Xenopus tropicalis: one gene and its partners. The protein of the gene in region 1 interacts with the protein of each later gene in a pairwise test. Links are inferred from orthologs where the notes say so. Each region holds a gene or a part of one and is shown in the gene's direction. Other genes may lie near its edges. The genes, in order: tollip, tom1l1, dazap2, tom1l2 and rbpms.

What was found.
Region 2: the proteins of tollip (region 1) and tom1l1 interact in binary tests that used the Homo sapiens proteins (3 or more experiments, as listed by UniProt). The link is inferred for Xenopus tropicalis from reciprocal best matches to the Homo sapiens genes TOLLIP and TOM1L1.
Region 3: the proteins of tollip (region 1) and dazap2 interact in binary tests that used the Homo sapiens proteins (3 or more experiments, as listed by UniProt). The two-hybrid records come from large-scale screens. The link is inferred for Xenopus tropicalis from reciprocal best matches to the Homo sapiens genes TOLLIP and DAZAP2.
Region 4: the proteins of tollip (region 1) and tom1l2 interact in binary tests that used the Homo sapiens proteins (3 or more experiments, as listed by UniProt). The link is inferred for Xenopus tropicalis from reciprocal best matches to the Homo sapiens genes TOLLIP and TOM1L2.
Region 5: the proteins of tollip (region 1) and rbpms interact in binary tests that used the Homo sapiens proteins (3 or more experiments, as listed by UniProt). The two-hybrid records come from large-scale screens. The link is inferred for Xenopus tropicalis from reciprocal best matches to the Homo sapiens genes TOLLIP and RBPMS.

Annotation. Positions count from the first base shown.
Region 1 is NC_030680.2:21,550,872-21,555,760, reverse strand, and holds the start of tollip (toll-interacting protein), read left to right. Parts: upstream 1-1,509; 5' UTR 1,510-1,590; coding exon 1,591-1,623; intron 1,624-4,889. UniProt on the Homo sapiens protein: Component of the signaling pathway of IL-1 and Toll-like receptors. Inhibits cell activation by microbial products. Recruits IRAK1 to the IL-1 receptor complex. Inhibits IRAK1 phosphorylation and kinase activity.
Region 2 is NC_030686.2:24,827,141-24,830,379, forward strand, and holds the end of tom1l1 (TOM1-like protein 1), read left to right. Parts: intron 1-84; coding exon 85-190; intron 191-1,378; coding exon 1,379-1,460; intron 1,461-1,667; coding exon 1,668-1,734; 3' UTR 1,735-1,746; intron 1,747-2,198; 3' UTR 2,199-2,523; downstream 2,524-3,239. UniProt on the Homo sapiens protein: Probable adapter protein involved in signaling pathways. Interacts with the SH2 and SH3 domains of various signaling proteins when it is phosphorylated. May promote FYN activation, possibly by disrupting intramolecular SH3-dependent interactions.
Region 3 is NC_030678.2:142,300,232-142,305,016, forward strand, and holds the start of dazap2 (DAZ-associated protein 2), read left to right. Parts: upstream 1-1,813; 5' UTR 1,814-1,850; coding exon 1,851-1,863; intron 1,864-4,785. UniProt on the Homo sapiens protein: In unstressed cells, promotes SIAH1-mediated polyubiquitination and degradation of the serine/threonine-protein kinase HIPK2, probably by acting as a loading factor that potentiates complex formation between HIPK2 and ubiquitin ligase SIAH1.
Region 4 is NC_030685.2:15,323,513-15,327,709, forward strand, and holds part of tom1l2 (TOM1-like protein 2), read left to right. Parts: intron 1-2,090; coding exon 2,091-2,225; intron 2,226-3,800; coding exon 3,801-3,968; intron 3,969-4,197. UniProt on the Homo sapiens protein: Acts as a MYO6/Myosin VI adapter protein that targets myosin VI to endocytic structures. May also play a role in recruiting clathrin to endosomes. May regulate growth factor-induced mitogenic signaling.
Region 5 is NC_030677.2:83,961,034-83,965,977, reverse strand, and holds the start of rbpms (RNA-binding protein with multiple splicing), read left to right. Parts: upstream 1-1,995; 5' UTR 1,996-2,286; coding exon 2,287-2,349; intron 2,350-4,944.

The DNA of each region.
Region 1 (4,889 bases):
TTCGCCGGTAGTTATGGATTGCAACATAGTGTGCCCGGATAGTGGGGCCCAGGTCATGAGAAATCACAGGGTCCCTCACAACAAAATTTTCTTGGCATCCTCCTGCTTCCTCCGGCTCCGCCCCCCCTCACGTCCTCCTGCTTTCTCTGGCTCCCCCCCCAGCATCCCCTTGCCTCTTCCAGCTCCCCCCTCAGCATCCTCCTGCTATCCCCCAGCATCCTTCTGCTTCCTCCGGCTCCCCCCCCCCCCAGTGTTCTCCTGCTACCTCCAGCTGACTGTCTCTCTCCTCCGGCTCCCCGCAGCGTCCTCACTCTTATGACGTTACATGTACACACGGGGCGCGACCAATCGGATTACTCGTTGACCACCAATGACAGGGCCTGTACTTGGGGGGCCCCAGCTAAAAAAAACTGTATCAAGGCTGGGCCCCCCTTAAAAGTGAGAATCGTCCGGGCCCTGGATGACTGTCCCCCCTGATGGCAGCCCTGTGGGGCCCAACAGGACTAGAGCCTACCGGGTTTTCTCCTGGTGTCCCAGCAGGCCAGTCCAATGCCGCGCTGTTTCATGCATCTACACATTATTTTCTGCACCTACATATACTAAAGGGCAGATTTATTAACATTCTGATTTTCATGGTTTTACAGTATTTTGAAACTCATGTCTAAACTCGTTTTCACAAAAGTCACAATAAAAAGGCTTTAATAAAAGATCCAAATTGAAAAAGCACAAACAAATAAAAAAGACACGGGAAAATGCAAAAAACGGCAGCTTTTTCATAAGTGAGGAAATACCTTCCAGTTGTAAAAAGGGACACCTGCCATTGACTTCTGCTCTCAGCAGCTTTTAGATGGCGCATTTTTTCTTTCGGATTTCCTGCGGTTCTGTAAATCAACTTTCCTGTAAATAAATCGTATTTTGGCACATATGTTCCAACTGTGAAAAAATAAATCGAACGTTAGCAAATGCCCCCTTTATACGCCCTTACACACCCTTTGACACACCCACACAATACAAATATTTACACACCCATTTACACACTTACACATTCTTACTCTGTTTTACACACAATTGTACAGAATTGTACTCATTCACACAAAGATAGCAAGGCTGGTATTTTTTCCTCACAGTTTTGCATTTAGTAGAGAGCAACTGTATGACATGAATAACATATAAAATAAAAATGTATTTGAAAAAGTTATTTAATTTCCCACTTAAAAGTTGGATTTATGGCCTGTGACAGAATTAACCAATACTGATATAAAATCACACACGACACCCATAGGGAACAGTTTCCTGACATATATGTACTTAATAATTTTTCTATCATTTCAGTTTCTATATTTTATCCTCAAAAACAAGAGCCAACCTGTGTCCTGAGGCACTTTAGGCATTCTGCGCATGCGTGCGTCCGGCAGGTCAGGTGACCGAGTTGCTAGCGGAGCCGCCGCTAAAACCGCAAGCGTCTGATGCCTTACTGCGCATGCGTGTGCGCTGCAAGTCAGGTGACAGATTTGTTAGAGGGTGTAGCAGCTAAAACAGGAAGTGTCTTGGAGAAGACGAGACCGGAGAGATAAGAGCTGTTCAGAAGCCATGGCAACGAGTATCAGCACCCAGAGAGGCCAGGTGAGATAGAGTGGAGAGAGGTTTTGGGGTGAAACGGGGTGTTTAGGTGGTAGGTTCAATACATGAGGGGTGATAAAAATGTCGGGGTATGGAGGTGAGACCCAGCCCCAACATAAGGAATGCGCTGCATTCCTGGCTAGTTTGTAAATAAGGTGACATTGAGATCTTTGATATTTGGAATGTATTACCTCGTTGACGGCATGTTTTCCTTTTAAACGCCACAGAAAACCCCTACATGCTGTGTAGCCAATCAGCTATTAAACTGCGTTCTGCGTGGCTGTACATAAATCAGTGCAGCCTGCAGCAGCTCATTTTTCACCTAGTTATGTAGGATATGAAATTAAAGAAGCACTATCCGTCTTACTCAACAACAAAGGGTTACTAATAAATTGGCTTGAGCTCAACTAGTTTTTTGTTTTTTTTTGCCTATTTGAATCGCGACAGATCTATGGGTTTTGTTAATTTTTTTTGAGCTGGAACAGGGGCAAGCTGAGAAACTGAGGCTACCCCATGTCTTGCAAGGTGAGTAATTAGATTGCAGCCTGACAGATATTCCCATTCATAATGGGCTTCTGCTTTTTTTCTAATTCAAAACAGTAACAATAAAGGGTGGAGCTTGTTTGTACAGAGGGCATTATCTCTTGTTAAGGTGGCCATACATGGGCCAACCAGTATTTGACCCACAAGCCTAGAGACTTAAAGGGCAGGTTTGGTATGAAGGGCCCTAAGTTTTGTGGTTGCTGAAGTCTTTAGCAGTCCTATGGCTTTACATTCTAGGTCTCCTTGTACGTGCCCTAAATTGCTTGGGCAATATGGACATATTTAGCCAAACTCTCGGCCGCCTATCCCTATCCCTTAAAGCGGCTAGAGTTGTTCGAGTGTTAAAGCCCTGATGCACTGATGTCTCCCGTTGGAATGTGGCTAGGTCATGTGCTTCAGCCGCCTAAGCATTCCACTCCCAGCGACCAAGATAGGATATGGGCCGTAAACATCTTAGTTTGTTCCTCACATGTACAATATGTATTTATCTGTTTTTACATCAATTCTTTAGCTTCAAAGCATCTGTGATGCTTTGATGTCCTCTCTTTACTTTTGTCCTGTAAAGACAGCTTTGCAATATATATTATAGGTATGGGACCTGTTATCCAGAATGCTCGGGACATGGGGTTTTCCAGATAAGGGGTCTTTCTGTAATTTTAGATCTACTCACCTTAAGTCTACTAAAAATCATATAAATGTTAAATAAACCCAATAGGATTGTTTTGTCTTTAATAAGCATTAATTATATCTTTGTTGGAATTAAGTACAAGTTACTGTTTAATTACTATAGAGAAAAAGGAAATAATTTTTAAAAATTAGAATTATTTCTTTTAAATGGAGTCTATGGAATTTTTAATGGAGCCTTTACGTAATTTGGAACTTTCTGAATAATGGGTTTCCGGATAAGGGGTCCTATACCTGTACTTTAAATGGTTTTCAGTGGTTTTCGAAGTTATATGTAAATGTAATTGCTAGTGAAGGCAGTAAATGCCTGGCTGTTTATAGTCTCAGCACTACTGTTTCGGAATCCTGAAACAATGTTGCAATAGCTAGCCTCAAAACAGCTATGGGTTTTGTGTCATGTGAGTGTTGTAATGATGCTTTCTGTTCCATCCTTTGAATGGAAATTCTACTGAAAATATTATACCCTTTCATACTAATAACAAATATTATCTACTATTTTAACCCGAGTCAGGGTAACCCAAATGTTTTTCTTCCTTCTCACAAATATCACCTTTTACTTGTTGGTAAGACTCTTTTTTTTTTTTGGCAGGACTTTTTTGGTGGGTTTTTGTATGTGAGCCTGTACCAACGGGCTAAGTCCTTTTGCACGAGTTTGCAGCAGTGCCACTTTTCTTTGGTGAATATATATAGATATGTCTATAGGACCCATTATCCAGAATGCTTGGGACAAAGGGTATTCCGGATAAGGGGTCTTTCCTTAATTTGGATCTATATACCTTAAGTCTACTAAAAAATAATAAACCATTAATTAAACCCAATAGGATTGTTTTGCCCCCAATAAGGGGTAATTATATCTTAGTTGGGATCAAGTACAGGTACTGTTTTATTATTACAGAGAAAAGGGAATAATTTGACCATTAAATAAACCTAATAGGGCTGTTCTGCCCACAATAAGGGGTAATTATATCTTAGCTGGGATCAAGTACAGGTACTGTTTTATTATTATAGAGAAAAGGGAATAATTTAACCATTAAATAAACCCAATAGGGCTGTTCTGCCCACAATAAGGGGTAATTATATCTTAGTTGTGATCAAGTACAGGTACTGTTTTATTATTACAGAGAAAAGGGAATCATTTAACCATTAAATAAACCCAACAGGACTGTTCTGCCCCAATAAGGGGTAATTATATCTTAGTTGGGATCAAGTACTGGTACTGTTTAATTATTACAGAGAAAAGGGAATCATTTAACCATTAAATAAACCCAATAGGGGTAATTATATCTTAGTTCGGATCAAGTACAGGTACTGTTTTATTATTACAGAGAAAAGGGAATCATTTAACCATTAAATAAACCCAATAGGGCTGTTCTGCCCCCAATAAGGATTATTTATATCTAAGTTGGGATCAGTTACATGATACTATTTTATTACTACAGAGAAAAAGGAAATCAGTTTAAAAATTCTGAATTATTTTATTAAAATGGAGTCTATAGGAGACAGGCTTTCCATAATTCGGAGCTTTCTGGATAATGGGTTTCCAGATAAGGGATCCCATATCTGTATATAAGTGGGAGTGTGAGTGAATACCCTAGGATTTTTTCAGCATAATCTTCCTGCTATGTTCCTACCCTTTGCACCGTTTTTGTAGAAAGGGAAGGAATATATAATATAATTTGTACATATTAAGTTGGAACTATGGCTTATAACAGTAATGGTGTCCATAAACTATTTATGAGCTAAGGGGGGCCCTCAACAATGGTTCAACCTTCAAGGTGGGCCTTGAATTGTATCTTTTAATGTTTGACTGTTGGACATGCTGACCAAACTTGCAGCATTAAATGGAAAAGTTGCGCTTACCACTAAACAATTTAAACCATTTGGCAGGGGTACAGTGAGGTTGTGGCCATAAAATTCATACCAACAAAGACCAGAGGTCCTCTCCACGACATTAAAGGGGAAGTCCGGCTTCCAAACCAAAATTTGTTAGAGAGCCCCACACAACACAGAAACCCCTAATATACCTATCACTGTATCTATTC
Region 2 (3,239 bases), on another chromosome or scaffold:
AGAGGCTGTTCACCAATATATTTTTGTGTGTAGGGTTTACATGTCCTTTAAATATTTTTATTTTTTCTTCACGACTGCCTGCAGACTCCAGCAGAACCAACTCTCCTTCCGACAGTTCCTGCCCTCAGCCCGACTGTTCTTCTAATACCGAATAACCCAACATCCAAACAACTAGCAGAAAACAAATCAGGTATATGTGCTGTATGTCAGTGGGGAATGTAAAAATGCCATGCAAAATATATTCGAAAAATAGAATTACCTATTGTGTCCCAGAATGCAGTGCAAATCAAACATGTGCATTTCAAATTCTCCACTCTATATAAAAAGCAACAACTTGTTTATTCAAGAAATACATGCTTGCAATGTTTTATAATGGTAGATATTTTAATTAATAGCACAGGAGGTGTTGGGGTGACTTAATCTAGGCCCCCACCATCCTGTACTGTTAGCAAGTTTAATTTAGTTCTCAAAACTACCCTTCCCATCATACATTTTGACTGTTTGTTAAAAGGGACACCATCATGTTTTGCCTTGTGGTATCCCTGTCATTATAAAAAAAAGTGGCTGTACAGATGCCCAAACACTTACCCATCACTACCTTTAATAGTTGTGGTTACCCTAGTGCTACTGGTTACAGACTAAAAGTGTGCACCAACCCAACTTTAAGTTAAGGCAGCTGTAATTAAATGTGTTTCCCATCATGCACTAACACACAAATAAGCATTTAGGTTTGATTTACATCAGTAACCCATTGCTTTGCTGGTCCATCAGTGTCATAGGTGGATTTCAATAAGGCTGGGGGATGCCAAGCCTCCCCAAACCTGCTTGGCACTTCTTTTGGCTTCTGCAATCAGAGCATAGCTCTCCTGCAGACAGAAAAATTGACTAATCAAGGCATAGATGTAGGCAGGGCTGGGGAGATATTTCAAAAAGGATCTGCAGGCTGTAACTTTACCCAAGATCCTCACCAACGCCAGATAGGTTTTGAAAGTTTTTGAAGGTTTGAAAATCCCAATGGATGAGGAGTGCATCAGCGTGTTTATGTAGTCCAATACAATCGCATTGGCCAGATTTGGCCCAGCGAGTGGGTGACCTTACAAAATGAGCATATCTTCCTTGGGCCATTGAATAGATGCTTATCTAAATAGTCACACTAAAGCCAACTAACATTTACTAGAGAAGGTTGCCGTATATTTATGTGTGTGTGTATATATATATATTTTTTTTTGTTATTTAAAAAATGTTCTGTACTGCACATTTATTCTCGATTTATTCTTTCGACACATATCCCATAAGCAAACATCATCTTAATTGGCTTGTGTAATAATTCTCTTTTGTGGGGATTATAATAAATTGTGATGTCTGTTTTATTTTTCAGGTGCATCAGAGAACAATTCTTTGTTGCCAAACTACTATGAACTGTTAGAATTTGATCCATTGGCTGAAAGTAATAGAACCGAGTAAGTATACTTTAGTTCAGGTATAGGAAACAACTGTAAGAACAGAGCCATTAAACTCATTTACAACCTTTAGGCATTTTAGTGCCTTGTGTACAGTATGTATGTTTACAGCTTTATAGCCTGGGTTCAGCTCAATGAACCCAGACTTAGGATATAATAATTTCTGACTGTGGCAAGCTCTGATCCCTTTTTTTTTTTTAATTCCAGAGTCATATATGAAGAAATTGATACTTCATTGTGGAGGAAAACTGCAAATAGTGGCGCTGAGTGTTAGCATTTAATACCTGTAAGTTCTAGCTGACTTCGCTGTAGGCTGGAATGTAAAAACCTATTCACTGAAGTAGTTATTGTTTTAAAACAGTTGCATTTTGAGGACTTGAAATGTCCTCAGATGATTCAATTTGTATCAGTATTTTGCAAAAATAATAGTAAGTAATTTATCAGTTTGTAAGGCACCCCACCCCCGAGTGATGATAAACACTTAAGTCAGACCTTAGGTAAGCACTTTCCTTTTTCAGGGACCCTTGTGATTAGTTTGGGCTTTGCACATGTACAGTAGCGTAAAATCAGAACTTATATTGTGAAATAACCCTTGGCCGGAGACAGTGGCATAACTAGATGTTACTGGGCCTCACAGCAAATGTAGAACCCAAAACATTGGCAAGTTGACCCATTCTACCAAGATGTATTAAAATTGCTAATTTATTAGGGTCTTACTGGGCCTACTTGCTATTGCAGGGTCTGCTTTACCAGATTACCACCCTGGGCCAGTGTGCTTTTCAGCCAAGAGGAACACCAACCTGAGGCCTAAGCAAAGTAATTATAATCACTGAAAGGGGTTGCTCCCAGTGATTTGTTTCCATGCCAAAATCACCATATTCACTTGGGCTTGTGATGCATCCGCTAGTATATCAGTCTTCTTCACCATAGATGCAGCCAAATGTGCACCAGCAATCACTCTTCAGGATCCAGGAGGCTTCTTTTTCTTATTCATATATATCCTTTAGGGCTCTGGCACACGAGGAGATTTGTCGCCGGCGATTTTTAAAAGAGCGATTTGGCGACAAGACGCCAATGCTAAATCAAGGGAAATCGCCAGCGTCAAAAAATAAGAGGCTACTTCAAATCGCCTGCTGTTTCAAATCGCACACAGACCCTTTTCTGAGCGACTTGAGTAAACATGAGGGGGGGTTAACTGTTGAGTGTACCATGGGTAGCAGATCGCCTGGAGCTCAACTCGCATGAAATCTCTTTGTGGGTATTGTCGTGGCGACTTGTCGCCAAAGCGCCAGGGGGAAAAAACGCAGGCGACAAATCTCGTGTGCCAGAGCCCTTACATAAGTTCCAGGACCACATGTGTATAGAGAATGATTCACTATATTTTATCATTTCTTATTGTTGATATATTTTGGGAGGTTAATGTAGGAAAAAAGGTCTATAATATTGATAAGAAGTCTATAAACTGAGAAATATTTATTTTTCTTTGCAGAGCAAATCTCAACATATTTATGGAAGATGTTTTTAGCCAATGATAGGAGATGGGATGGAATACTCCCGAATATTTTTCTATGTGATGCTTTACTCTTTGGCCTAATAGTGGAGAAAACCTAAGCCATCCGATTAGACAGAGGTTTTTCATTAGGCTGCCAACCAACAAAATCTATTCATCTAGTCCTAAATCAGATTTAAATTCATTATGCCAAGAACGACATACTGAATGGCTTGACCCTGCTCTCAAATACAGCACTATTCTTTTTCTGTAGATCATCAATTGTTTAC
Region 3 (4,785 bases), on another chromosome or scaffold:
TCCCTGACTAGGCCAAAGTTCCCTATGGTTTACAGAAATAAAGGCATGATTCTGGGCACAAGGCTTCAGTACAGAGAATGTTGTATAGTAGTTAATCCACTGATAAAATCCTAATATTTTACAACAGGGGGTTCATTATTGTTTTATAATAAACAGGTTCTGTTAGTCATCAGCCATTCAGCCAGTTTGAAGAATATCTAAGACAACAAAGATTTACCTTAAATCTCTTTGTAACTGAATTTCAATGTGACCTTTCAAGAGACCAAGTAGGCCTTCCCCTCAGCTCTAACCTGCACTTGTCTTAAAGTAGAAAAAAACCCTAACCCATTTTCAGCCATCCTTCACTGCTCCCCCTCCAAGCTCAGAGGCACCATCTTCCCCTGACTTCTGACTCCTCCTGTTAGTCAAAACTGATTCAAAAGGGAAGATGCTCTTGCAATATTGTGCCTTTACATAGTATTGAAACTCTTCAGTGACTTATAATATCCCTTTACAATAAGGGGTATTTTTTCTCAATATAAATTAAGTAGGTGAAGGTGAAAAATAATAACCTTAAAAAAATTCACAATTTTTACAGCAGGTGCTGCTCCTAGACACCTTTGTTACGTAAAAATTTTTCAGCTGGGGGAGAGAAGTCCCAGCCAATAAGGCCAGTGCATTGGGGTTATTTGCAAAGGTGATGATAAGAAGGAAACACACAGAAATTACAGGAGAGTTGTGAGTTAGGTTCTAGCACTGCATGGGCTACAGTTCCTGTCAGGTCCAATAGTAGCATAGAGTAGTGAGGGTCAGTATCTGGGTGTTAAGGGGTCAATATAATAAAAGGTGCGAAATTTGCTTTAGGTTAGTGACCCACTGCAACCAATCAGCAGATAGAATTTACTGGTCAGCTATATAAAATCAAGAATCCGACTGGTTGCTATGGGTTAATTGACCCAGATGAACTTTGCATCCTTTATTACATTACCCAATGTATACCAATTCCATTATATACTGCATGCATGTAATATTAATATATTGACTCTAGTGACTAAGGCTGATGTTCCACTGAGCGGTTTAGTCACCTGCAATAGATCTCTGCTATCGCAGGCAACTAACTGTTCCAAAATGCATTTCCACTGGCAACAATAGGAGTTGCTTGTGAAAAGCCCTTCACATGGCTTTGGTATTCCAAAGTCATACAAAGTTTCCTCCAGCAGGCATCTTTGTGTGACTTATGAAAACTGAAGCAATGCAAGCAATGGCTTTCTACCGGCGTGGCTGGTGGATAGGCATTTCGTAGAGGGCAGTCACCCGCGATAACACAGATCTATTGTGGGCGACTAAACCACTCCGTGGGACATAAGCCTTTCCCTTTACCTGAAAAGAAACGTGTCAGCCAACCAATGACATAGCACCTACGTTTACAAGAAAAATGCATTCCCCAACAATGCAATTTTTTTACAAACAGCCCATAACCTGGACAACAGGGAAAGAGCTAAATTGATATCCTAGACCAGTGTTAATACAAAATGGTAAAAATCTGTTGATACAAAAGCAAGAAAATTTTACTCATTTCCAGTAAAGCAGCTACTATGTTACCTAATGGGCTAATTATAACCATAAGTTGTACCATTCCTTGGGTCTATGAAAAGCAAAATGCGTGTTTAGGCAAGCCAAAAGCTGCAGCCTGCAATAAAGCCGCGCAAAATGAAAGTGCAGGTAGGGGGCGCTGCTCAGCAGGAATGCGCTTTCGTATCTGCGTAGAGTGAAAAAACACAACAAGGAAGTAGATAGAAGCGGAAGTGGAATCATCTCCCACAACAACACAGAGAAAATACAGATCGAGCAAGAGACGTGAACCCGGGGCAATGAATAATAAAGGCAAGTAATGGCCCCTCCGGAGCTCAGCGGCAACTTCACTGTGCTTTGCGCTTGCTAGGGCTGTTTGTCCTGATCAGGATGCACCTTGGGATTGAGACTGCGACCTGGCGGAGCTGCTGCTGCTGCAAGGCGTTATGATGTCACTGATACCAGTGATTTGGGGCCCTGCTGGGACTTACTCTATAACCGAGTCCCTCTGCTTATTATTATTAGGAAGTATATGGTTTGGGTGGGTATATTCTAGGGGCGGGCTCTATTAGTCACTGAGCGAGTGAATATATATATATAAATATTAGGAATTCGGACGTATTATAGAATACGTTTATACCTTGGTAACCAGCTCCGGCTCCGTCCTGCTTGTGTGCGCACCGCTCTGACCGTGTAAGGCAGGGATTGTGTAACTCCTTGTGTATGTGCCTCGCTAAGGAACATCGGACGTGTCATTTGCCTTCCATTCCAGCGCTTTATAAAGGATTTAGTGGCAAATGGATCACTAAGTAGGCCAGTCGGCAACTATAGTACCATAGTTACATAGGGTTGAAAAAACACCAGAGTCCATCAAGTCCAACCCATCCAAGTAAATCCAGCACTTACAACCTATATTTACCAATCTATCATCAACCATGCCAGGCTTCAGGCTGATGGTATTTGTGCATGGCACTCTTGAATTAACAAGAACTCTGCTACTGAAGAGCAGTAATCCAGTAACAAAGTACATTTGTAGTAGAGTTTAGTACTGCACTGGAAACATTGTCTAATCAGACTTGGACTGGGATTTAAACCAGGCCCTGGCTTTTTAAATACACAGAGGCCCAAACAGCCCCCCTACACAACCCCCAATAAATAGTGCCTGTCTATATCAGTGATCCCCAGAGGCTCACATACAGCATGTTGCTCCCCATCCCCTTCCCTGTTGCTTCCAGTGGCATCAAAGCAGGTGCATATTTTTGGATTGAAGTCAAATTTGGATTGCATAAAAAAACAGAGCCTCCTGTAGGTTGCCAGTCCACATAGAGACTACCAAATAGCCATAGTGCTTGTGTTGCTCCCCTACTCTTTTTATATTTGAATGTGGCTCACTTTTAAAAAAGGCTGGGGACTCCTGGTCTATGGTATCTTACAGCAGCCCCTCTGGCATTTGCCAGAATCACAGATTGTCATTGTGGAACTGTGCCCAATTTAATGCTGCTGCACACCTGTGCATGGACAAATATCAGCCACTCCATATCGCTTCACTGCTTGGGGTGTTGAGCTTCCTTCTCCTTCAGAATAGCTTCATAAATATACATTTGATAAGGTGCAAAAACAATTTGCAGTTTTAACAAAGAGGAATTCCTCGCCCATTTTAGCAGCAAAAAGAGGAGATTGCATCAAATAAATTATTATATGGATGACTTTATGAAAGAATGTCATAATACTTGTTTAACTTTTTCATTGCAGAGGGGGTTGTTCTCTAATGATTCTCAAGGTCTTCCCAATGTTTCTGCCTATTCAGAGTGACATTCTTGAGAATCTCATACTTGAGACTTGAAGTTTTACAGTGCTTTTGATTTTATTGTTCTAGTCTAGAACCAAAAATGTTCTGCCTATTTTGAACTTGTTATGGGTAAAGAATAGTATTTTGTCTTTTTATCTTTGATTATTTCTGCTGAGCAAATTAGAGTGCTACTTTGTTCATAACTTTAGGTTAAAGAATAAGTAAACCTTTTTTTTCTATCAGTAAAATTACTCTAAACAGCCTCCAGAATTACCTACCTTTGTCCCAGCATTCTTTCTGACCTGGTTCCTCAGTTAGAAGTTGATAGTTTTTCTTTGCTTCCTTGTGCAGAGTAAAGCCCCGCCCCCACTTCCTGTTCAGTTCTCTCTTCAATTCGACTACCTGTAGTTGACCTGGAGAGCCTTCTGGGCATGCCTGGAGGCAGCAGTACGCATTCACGCTGCACTTCCGCATTCCCCGGTCATCGTCGATCACAGACGGAAAAGGTCTGGTCACCCATGAGCTAGCCATATTCTTAATGAGCTGCAAGTTGGAGTGATATCACCCCCCTCCCAGCAGCTGATCAGCAGAACAATGGGAAGGGAGCAAGATAGCAGCTCCCAGTTGGTATCAGAATAGCACTCAATAGTAAGAAATCCAAGTCCGGGTTGGGCCCCCTCCAGTTACATGGGAGTATGAGAAACAATAGGTTACCTGAAAGCAGTTCTAATGCGTAGCGCTGGCTCCTTCTGAAAGCTCAGACTGAGACACTATGCACTGAGATGGCGCCTACACACCAGAATTACAACTAAAAAAAATACATGTTGATCCAAGAATAAAATTTTAAATGGCAGAGTGAATTATTTGCTAAACAGTGTAATTTAGAAATAAAAAGTACACCACAAAATCTTTAAGCATGAAGTCTAGCATTCTTTAATGATGGCCTCTGAGTGACTGACCTGAAAAGTTCAAATAGTTACTCAGAGGCCAGAATATCATTGAAGGATTTTGGTAACCTTGGTAGGTAAGCAATACAACACAAACATATGCAGACTATAAAGACTATTGGATTCTCTGTGTTTCCTTTAGGCTGATTAAATATTGTTTTCCATCATCTCCCAAATCCCAAGTCAAATTGATTAGATGAGTCTGATTATAAGCCAAATTGAATTTTAATTGGTATATTAATATTTATCTCCAGTTTTCCCAAATTTTGCAGTTGTCAAAATTTCTGTTTGTGTGAAAACTAATTTTTTTCTGTTATGCAATCTTGTGATAATTATGATATTAATATAAATCTTTGAAACAAACCATGGAATTCAGACAAATATCTAAGCAACTTTACTTTCCTCACAACCCTAGATTAGCTGCATTTTTATGGGAACTGAAGATGATCTAAATTTTTAAAACCAGGGTCATATAGGTGGAGTTTGGCAGCTTTTGGG
Region 4 (4,197 bases), on another chromosome or scaffold:
TATGCCAAGGGATCATTATTTATTACTTATATTCTACTGAAAGCAATTTAATCCTGTTTTGTTTGCCAGGCAGCAGTGTTGCAGACACAGTAAATGTGCTGGACTTCCCTCATTAACAATTTCCGCTAATTGATACCTTGGCAGCAAGTTTAGACCGCAAATTCAGCTTTTTTACTTTATCGCTGGTTGGGGCCAAAGCCCGAACTGCAGTCTGGGAGATTAGGACATAATAATTATATAGGAGCCTTTCAGAATGGGCTGAGTCACCCAGTTCTGTCCCTTCTGCAGGTTTTAATGTTTGGTTCTGAACATGGAAACAAAGGTGTATCTGCGGTGCAAGAGCCAGCACAGTGCGGGCTGTACCCATGGGCTCCGGGCGTTTGCTTAACGGTCTAAGCCATGATAATAACATTTTGGACCAGTGTGGAATGGTTCTATCTGCTAAGCTCTGTCTGTGTGTAAAAATAACCCATGCAAGGCACTCTGTGTTCCTCTCTTGCTTCCGATTGGCCAGTGCCAGTAAGCTGAGTCCATTTTGGGGCCGCCAAACAACACCCATAAAGGGACCTAGTAGCCAGTAGGGTCAGAGAACATATTCTGCAGAGATTCAGACATATTTTTTGTTTGGCCACCCTTCCAGTGTATTTAGTACTACTTTTTGGTCCAAGATGTTGTCAGATAAGGCAAGGGTGGGCAATAAGCACATTGGGGTACAATTGATGTACACACTCGGAGTTCCCTCCTGTCCCCCCTTTTCATGCCTGCAGTTAGATGGAGGCTTTCTAGAGGCCACGTTTTCCACACTATGTGCGACTATAACTCTCAGCTTCTTACTGAAGAACTTGTTGGTGCGTAGCTGTGACCATAGTATGGGTCTCTTTTGCTCACTTAGAGCTGTTACATTGAGACCAAATTTTTATTTATTGGAGTTATTTTCCCCATTCCCCATCCTAGTTACTCCCTTTGCTTTGACTATTAAAAGGGTTGCAATTAGTCACCAGTCTATAAAGGGGCGGTTCACCTTTAAGCAAACTTTTAGTATGTTCTAGAATTACCTATTCTAAGCAACTTTTCTATTGGTCTTCATTATTTTATAGTTTTTGAATGATTTGCCTTCTTTTTCCAACTCTTTGCAGCTTTCAAATGGGGGTCACTGACCCTGCAGCCAAAAAACTATTGCTCTGTGAGGCTCCAGTTTTATTGTTTCTTTTTATAACTTTTTTCTATTCATATATCAGTCTCTCATCCAAACCACTGCCTGGTTGTTAAGCTAACTCAGACCCTAGCAACCAAATAACTGCTGAAACTCCAGACTAGAGAGCTGCTGAACTGAAAATGAAATAACTAAAAAACTACAAATAATAAAAAAAAAAAGAAGTTAACTTGGAGGTGAACAACCCCTTTATGCCCAATTATTCTTTTTCATTTTTCCAACTGATTCAAGCCTAAATCAAACATAACCTTCTCAAGTGGCGTGTTGAATACACACACATGTATGTAAATATAAACGCACTGGGGTTCCTGTTTGTCACTGACACCGTTCAAGGCAAAGGTGTCACCCCTTCCCGTGTCCCCTCTGTCATATGTTACCTGCAAGTGGCAACCCCCGATGGTATCAGATGAGGTCAGATCAGATATCAGGGGGGTGTGTTCTACTGGGTCAGGCACCACTAACGTACAGAAGGGGAGAGCCGCGTCTCGCCCAAAGGATTTCTGTTTCTCTGAAACCCCATACAGAATAGATCTGCCTCACTGGCACCGTGCAGAAGGTAAGTGACATTTGGAAGAAAGGACACTTGGGTTGATGGAATGCAGCCATTAATCAATATTACCATCTCTATAATTAGAGACCATTTTCTTTTCTTGTTTGTCCTTCAGGTTTATTGCTGCATTTGTCTTCATTCATTATAAGCTTGGTCTCCTGAAAATATCTCTGTATATATGTATGCATGATAGAAATGGGTGCTATGGCAGGGGAGGAGGGACTAAAACATTGATGTTTCACATTGTAACAACAGGCAATTTAGGTGTTGGGCCCCTTTTGGTTGTGACGCTTCACAAGTTGCTGTGTTCCCGCTGTTGTGTTGCAGGCTTGGGCGGACGCATTTCGCAGCAGCCCTGACCTTACTGGAGTTGTACATATTTATGAGGAGCTGAAGAGAAAAGGAATAGAGTTCCCAATGGCAGATCTAGATGCTTTGTCTCCCATACACACCCCCCAGAGGGTAAGTTGATGAAAAGCTGGCTGCTAACCTGCCACCTATGCAGGGCACAATATTTTTTTTTTTTCAATTTGAGGAAAATGATGATTTAAACTCCACGCAAACACAATTTAAGCTTTTTGAAAAGAAAACATAATTTCAAGCAACTGTGCTGTATACATTAATTAAAAAATATGCAGCCTTTTCATCATTTTCAAAGTAATATGGTTTGTAACAGTTCCCTAAGCCCCGCCCCCTGTTCCCCTGCTGATCTGGTTGGCTACTTTGAGACTCAGATAAAATGTAACAGTAGTCGCCTGTCCTCAGCCTGCAGCCTGCAGCCTCCAAATCCCACGATTCTCTGCACACGTGATGTCAATAAGGAAAGGAACATCACAGTGCAATGCATTGTGGGTTTTGTAGTTCCTGCATGCTGTCTGTAAGCTGTGGCGAAGTTGTTACAATTTGTAACATCAGTGTTTTAGTCCCTCCTCCCCTGCCAGGATTTCAAATGATGCAGGAAGAGAAGAACTATTTTGCAGCTGGATTTCAGCATATAAAATGGTATTTATTCATACTTTTTGAAGGAACAGATTGCAGTGATGGGTATATTAGGGGTTTCTCTATGGGGCAAATTTTGGTTCAGAAGCCTTAATTCCCCTTTATTCTATATAAGAGGCTTTTTCATTGAGAAACCTTACTGCAAAGGGTTGCCCACTTGTCCCCCACTTTTTAATATTAATGTGCTGGGCCCTGGAGGGACACGGTTTAAGCACCCACCCACTATAAGGTGCCAACAGGCCACATTGGACTTGTACATATGTGACAGGTCAGGTCTGGGCACACACAGCACAGTAATAGCTCTATTGTCTGTATTCTGTGAGAAACACCAAAATGCCTCCGATTGTTACATATTCCAACCCAAGCAGAGATTTGGCCTTTCGCCTATTGCTGTGGCGCAGCGACTCCATAACACTGAGGAACCAGCACCCATCACTCGTTGTATTGTGAGTTGCACACTGTAGTACAAGTCACATTGCTCAGCGACAGTGTAGAGTTCTGCCATCCCCTAAAGGCAGATTAGATTTCGGCATTAACATTAAATATTCATGCCTCCGCTCTCTGGAAATGACAGCAGGCTTTCTGCCGCCCGTTTTGTGCCGCTGCATTATTAAAAGCATGAAGGGGCCCTCGTCTGCCTATTAAGGTAACAGCTCAAATTCTTGGAAGTTTCCACATAAAGTACTTAAGGGGGGGTTCACCTTTATGTTAACTTTTATTTGCCTTCTTCTTCTGCCTCTTTCCAGCTTTCAAATGGGGGTCACTGACCCCGGAAGCGAAAATCTATTGCTCTGTGAGGCTACAATGTTATTGTTGTTGTTACTTTTTATTACTTATCTTTCTCTTCGGCCCCTCTGCTATTCATATATCAGTCACTATCTCAAACCACTCCCTGGTTACTAAGGTAAATTGGCCTCTAGCAACCAGATAACTACTGAAATTCCAAACTGAAGTAAAATAATCCCATACCTGTACTGATCTGCTAGCCTGGCCTAGGAAGGTACATTTACAGTTATGTGTGTATTTTTGCTGTTACAGAGCGTTCCTGAGGTGGATCCTGCGACCAACATGCATACCTCTCAGACTCAGCAGAGGGGCAGCTTCAGCAACTTCTCCAATTCCAAATCCAGCCCCACTCCCCCCTACACAGCCCCAGGAGGCCCTCCAGCAAACATGGGCGGCCCCATCAGCGCAAACTCCGAGCAGGTATGGAGCAGCTTTATATGCTTGTGTGCCCGTGGCCAATCTGCTCCAAGGCAGACATCTTATTAAAGCAAAGGCATAATTACTGGGGATGCCCCCCAAGTGATTATAACCATTTACCAGAGACCCCTCCTGTTCACTGAAAACTGCACCGGCCTAAGGTCAAGCTTAAGGCATCCATCCTCTTCCTCCTGGGTCCTCCTGTGGCCTGTTCCAGGTGCCTATCAATATT
Region 5 (4,944 bases), on another chromosome or scaffold:
TTAATATAGACTGTAGGGGGGAAAGATGGGAGTTAGGGAGGCCGGTTAGTAACAGGTTACAGTAGTCAAGTCGGGATAGGATGAGCGCATGCATGAGCAGCCTAGCTGTTGCAGTAGAGAGAAAGGGATGGATTTTGGCAATATTGCGTAAGAAAAAGTGACAGGTTTTGACAGTGGTGTTAATATGGTCAGAGAAGGAGAGACTGGAGTCAATGATCACCCCTAAACAACACATGGAATTGACAGGGTTGATGAAGGTGCCTTCGATAGAGATAGAAAAGGGGGGAGTAGGACCAGGCTTAGGCGGAAAGATCATTAGTTCAGTTTTTGTTAGGTTCATTTTGAGGTGGCGTTGGTTCATCCAATTGGAGATAGCCAGGAGGCAGTTAGAGATTTGAGTCTCAGTTTCAACTGTTAACGAAGGGGTCAATAGTAAATTTGGGTATCATCAGCATACAGATGATATTCAAAAGACATCTTGCCCAATGGCATTATCTGTCTGCCTGGTCAAAGAAAGGCAATAACAGTTTTGTTGCCAGCAGGAAACCTTTGTTACCCACAGACACCAAATCTGAAAATAGAATATTTTACATGCTGCGATTTGAATATAAGCGAGTCTGAGGGAAATATGTGCTCCTCACCTGGGCCTTAAAGTGAAGGCAAATCTCCAGAAAATACCCCTTTGCTCACATTCAGATTGCTGCATGTAAAATACATTACATCCAATGATCTGGCTTAATTGCAGAAAATTTCAAAAGATATTTTCCCGCGCTCAGAATGTTAATGAAGGTACAAGTATTTCTAGGAGATCTGCTTCCTGAGGTAGCCTAGATTTGCCGCAGGTGATAAATCTCCTTGTCTCCCAGTATCCTAAGGCCCATAGGGAGATTAGTCACCTATTGTTAGATTGCCACCAGCAATAAAGTAAATTGCCGATGGGAAGACATATGCATTGCTTTGTTTTGTGAAGTTGTGCTGTTTCCTCCTGCAGGGAATTCACATTTCTGGGATTAGTTCCCAAAATTTTAGGGAGATTAGTTGGCCGCGGTAGCCAAGATTTAACCGTGGCCAACTAATCCTCCTGTGGGCTATTGCCCTTATGGTGATGGCACATGTGGAAATTAGTCTCCAAAAAATGCTTTCCCACCAGCAATAATGTAAATCACCACTGGGAAAACATACGCTTTGCTTTGTTCTTCTAAAGTTGAACGTAATTTTCTCACAAAGAATATCCAGAAGATTAGACACCTGTGGTAGAGCAGATATATCAAGGGTGACTAATTCCTATGTGTGCAGTCACCCCTAAGGCTGAGGCACATGTGGAGTTTAGTCACCTACGATTTACATTACTGCTGGTGGGAAAGCATTTTTAAGAGATTAGTAAACTGTGATAAAGCAGATTTAGCTCAAATCTCCAGGTCTCATTGCCATGGCTCTAAGCTCCCTCTTTTGTGGAATCCTAACAACAACAAGAATAAATGCATAAGAGCGCATTATCTTTGCTGGTTCCTACATTGTGTACTTCGCACCTTGGTGTAAACCTCTGCCTAAATTAACCTTACAGGAAAGTGTTAAGATCTATCGCTACAAATTGAAATAATATAAGGAGGGTAAGGCGGCACCCAGAACATTCAGGTATACTTGCACTGTAATAGATCCTACTCACCACTAGCACCAAACACAGTGCTTATCACTCTTTCCGCCCCCTCCACTCTCTCTTTCTCTCACCCTGCTGCCGCTGCCTATTTTCTATCTCTCGGCATTTCACCCTTTGACCTTGTCTGGAAATCGTCAATTTCTGAAGACGCTTTCAAGCACGGCTGATTTTTTAACTAAGAAATTGGACCCGATACTGATTTTTTCTCTCACCAGCCCTCCCTGCTCTCTAAACAGAGCAGCTCCCCACCCACAAACTGGGAGTTTTGTAGTCCCGGCTCTGAAGTTGCTTTAAGCCCTTCCCCTTCAGAAAGCAAAGGCTGCTCCTAACCCTAATCACCAACAGTCACTCGCAATCCCCCTTTCCTCTCTCACCCCCTCGCTTGCTTTCCTTATCACTCGTACAAACCACAGACTTCCTCATCTTACTTTTAAGACAAAACTCTGAAAGAACAAGAGCTTTATTATAATATTTGGATCTAAATGATATGCTTTTCATTAAACTAACCAGTAACCTGACTGCTTGAAACTAAGTTCCAGTCTTTCTCCAGCACTTCCCAGTATAAGGAAAGCGAAAAGTCTGCACTGTAGAAACTGACATTCACAGAAGCCTCTGCCCAGGAGACCACAATGAACAGCAACATAGCTGAAAAGGAGGGCTCTCAGGATGAGATCAGCCTTCCAGAAGAAGAGGTAGGTGGCTCTAATACAACCGAAATATTTTACTCATTATCCCTAGTCTGCACATGGTGTTATCCACTTGTGATGCCTGCTGATCATTCCAACTCCTATAGTTTGTTGTATAAAAATGCTTTTTTAAATGTTTCTTAAAAAGCTGTAATATTGATCAACAGAAATGTAGTTCAGTATACATGTTTGTGTGTTTACAAATGCTAAGTAAAAGCAGCTTAAATTTTGTATATTATTACATACACACACATGTATACCTTGTTATCAGTCACTGTTTGTGTGTATATATGTAGTGCGGTACCATTTTGTGGGCTTGTTGTTTTAGTAAGTGAGCAACCCTGGCTGTAGTCCCACAGTAAGATTTGTTTCTGGGGATTTGACAGATTCTATGTGTGGCAATTTAGGTCCGACCTCAGGAGTCAGTCAGTCGCATCCTCATTCATCCTTTAGGAGTGATGAGCATATGATTACCCTGTGACTTGTCAGATTTCATTTGTATGGAAAGAGTTCACATTCATCAAAATTGTATGTAATTGCATGCCTTAACTTTCATGCTGACATTCTGATGTGATCAAGCTCATGCAGTGGAGGACCACTTTCTATAGTGTGAATGTGAGATTGGTATTTTTTTAATGGGAGAAAACGACAAACTTAATTATTCTGGTTTGTAGATCAGAACAATTGCTTAGTTCTAAACAGTCAATCACATCAGCTTTTGATTGGAAGCATGATCTGCACAACTGTTGTTTTGTGAGTGCAGCATACAGTAAATCTGTTGTTTAAACAAATGTGTTCATAAATTGTTCAATAAATCCTAGGTGTCTTGAGTTTCTGGGATTTTCCTTAAAACACGGGAAGTTGTAATATATGAGTTGCAGTTCTCATTGCTGTGTATTTTTTAGGTGGTACAAAATGGTCCTTGTTTTGTCAAAATAGTAATATTAAAATTAAAAAGCCATAACCCTCTCTCACAGTTGGGTCCTTGCATTACTGTGTAGAGGAAGGAAATAGTGTTGTTAAACAATACCTCTCATGCTGCAAACAAATAAGGATAATGGATACCAGTTCTCAAGTGTGAACTAGCTCCTGCATTTCAACTATGAGATGCCCTTTAGGGCTTGTAATTACTAGCGTTTGTTTCTGCGTTTCACCGCAGGGGTGCACAGAAACAAACACATTTCATACTTCCCCATGTGCCTATGTGGTCCCTCTTCTTTACTAGGGCCTTATTGTCCAAGACAGCCCAGCAGACATTCCAGCAGGTGGAGGCCAAAAGGCAAGAGCCATGTGATCCCGCTTACTATATTAAACATTACAGGAAACAATTATAACATCCGTGAACCAATAGGGAAAAACTATTCTACCCAGGTATCTAGGTTACAGGTGCCAGGAATATGCAAAAAGAAGGGAAATCAGGCTAGTAGGGGATTCACAAACCCACAGGGCATTTAACTTACAATTCAGTAGAAGATTCAAACATCTTGAGTGTGGGAATTTTGCTTTTTAGTACCAGTACTTTTTGACCATGCACCATTCAGTGTGCGGTTCTCCTCTGTGTTTCTCAAGTCCAGGCCCAGGACAGTTGCCTATAGTTTACATACACATCACACATTTTCTTGCAAATTCGTCAATATTGGTATTTTTATATTCACTTCTTGTGTCAAATTTTCAGGTTTAACAAAATTGCATGCTAGTATGAAGATCAGCTGTTTTAAAAAAGGATTCTAGGAGCAGCTGCATTTTCCTCTGAACAGTAAGTGGAACATGCAAAGGACACTGGCTCCCTTAACAGCATTGTTTTGTCCTTGGAATAGTTGAATTCAGGTATACTGTTAGTGGCATGGTAGAACAAGGCAAATGATTAATAAATGTTTCAGTTGTTTGTAAAATAATGTGGAGAGTTTTTGATGCAAACAAAATATATATATATATATATATATATATATAAAATCACAAAATTTGGTAACAGGCACTCACAATACAGAGTCAAGGATGCCTGGGTGCAGTCCAATACGAAATAGTAAAACACAAAATAGCCGGTACCGCACTCACAGGTCTTATATAAAGATATTTATTCAAAAAATCGTGTCTAACGTTTCGGCTGCCATTGCAGCCTTTCTCAAAAAAGAAAGGCTGCAATGGCAGCCGAAACATTAGACACGATTTTTTGAATAAATATCTTTCTATAAGACCTGTGAGTGCGGTACCGGCTATTTTGTGTTTTATATATATATATATATATATATATATATATATATATATATATATACAGGATCTCTAATTTGTAAACCTGATATCCAGAAAGTTCCAAATTACAGGAAGGCCGTCTCTCCTACTGCCCATTTTAAGCAAATAATTCCAATACTTTAAAATTATTTTTTCTGTAATAATAAAATATTACCTTTTACTTGATGGTAACTAAGCTGCATAGATCCATAATGGTTGCAAAGCAATTCTATTGGGTTTGTTTAAGTGTTTTTGATAGCCTTAACGTATGATGAACTTGTGTATGTATATGGAGTATGTGTGTGAGAATATATATCTATGCAGTGAACATATTCTTGATATATATTTTTATATGCTTTAGTAATATAACGC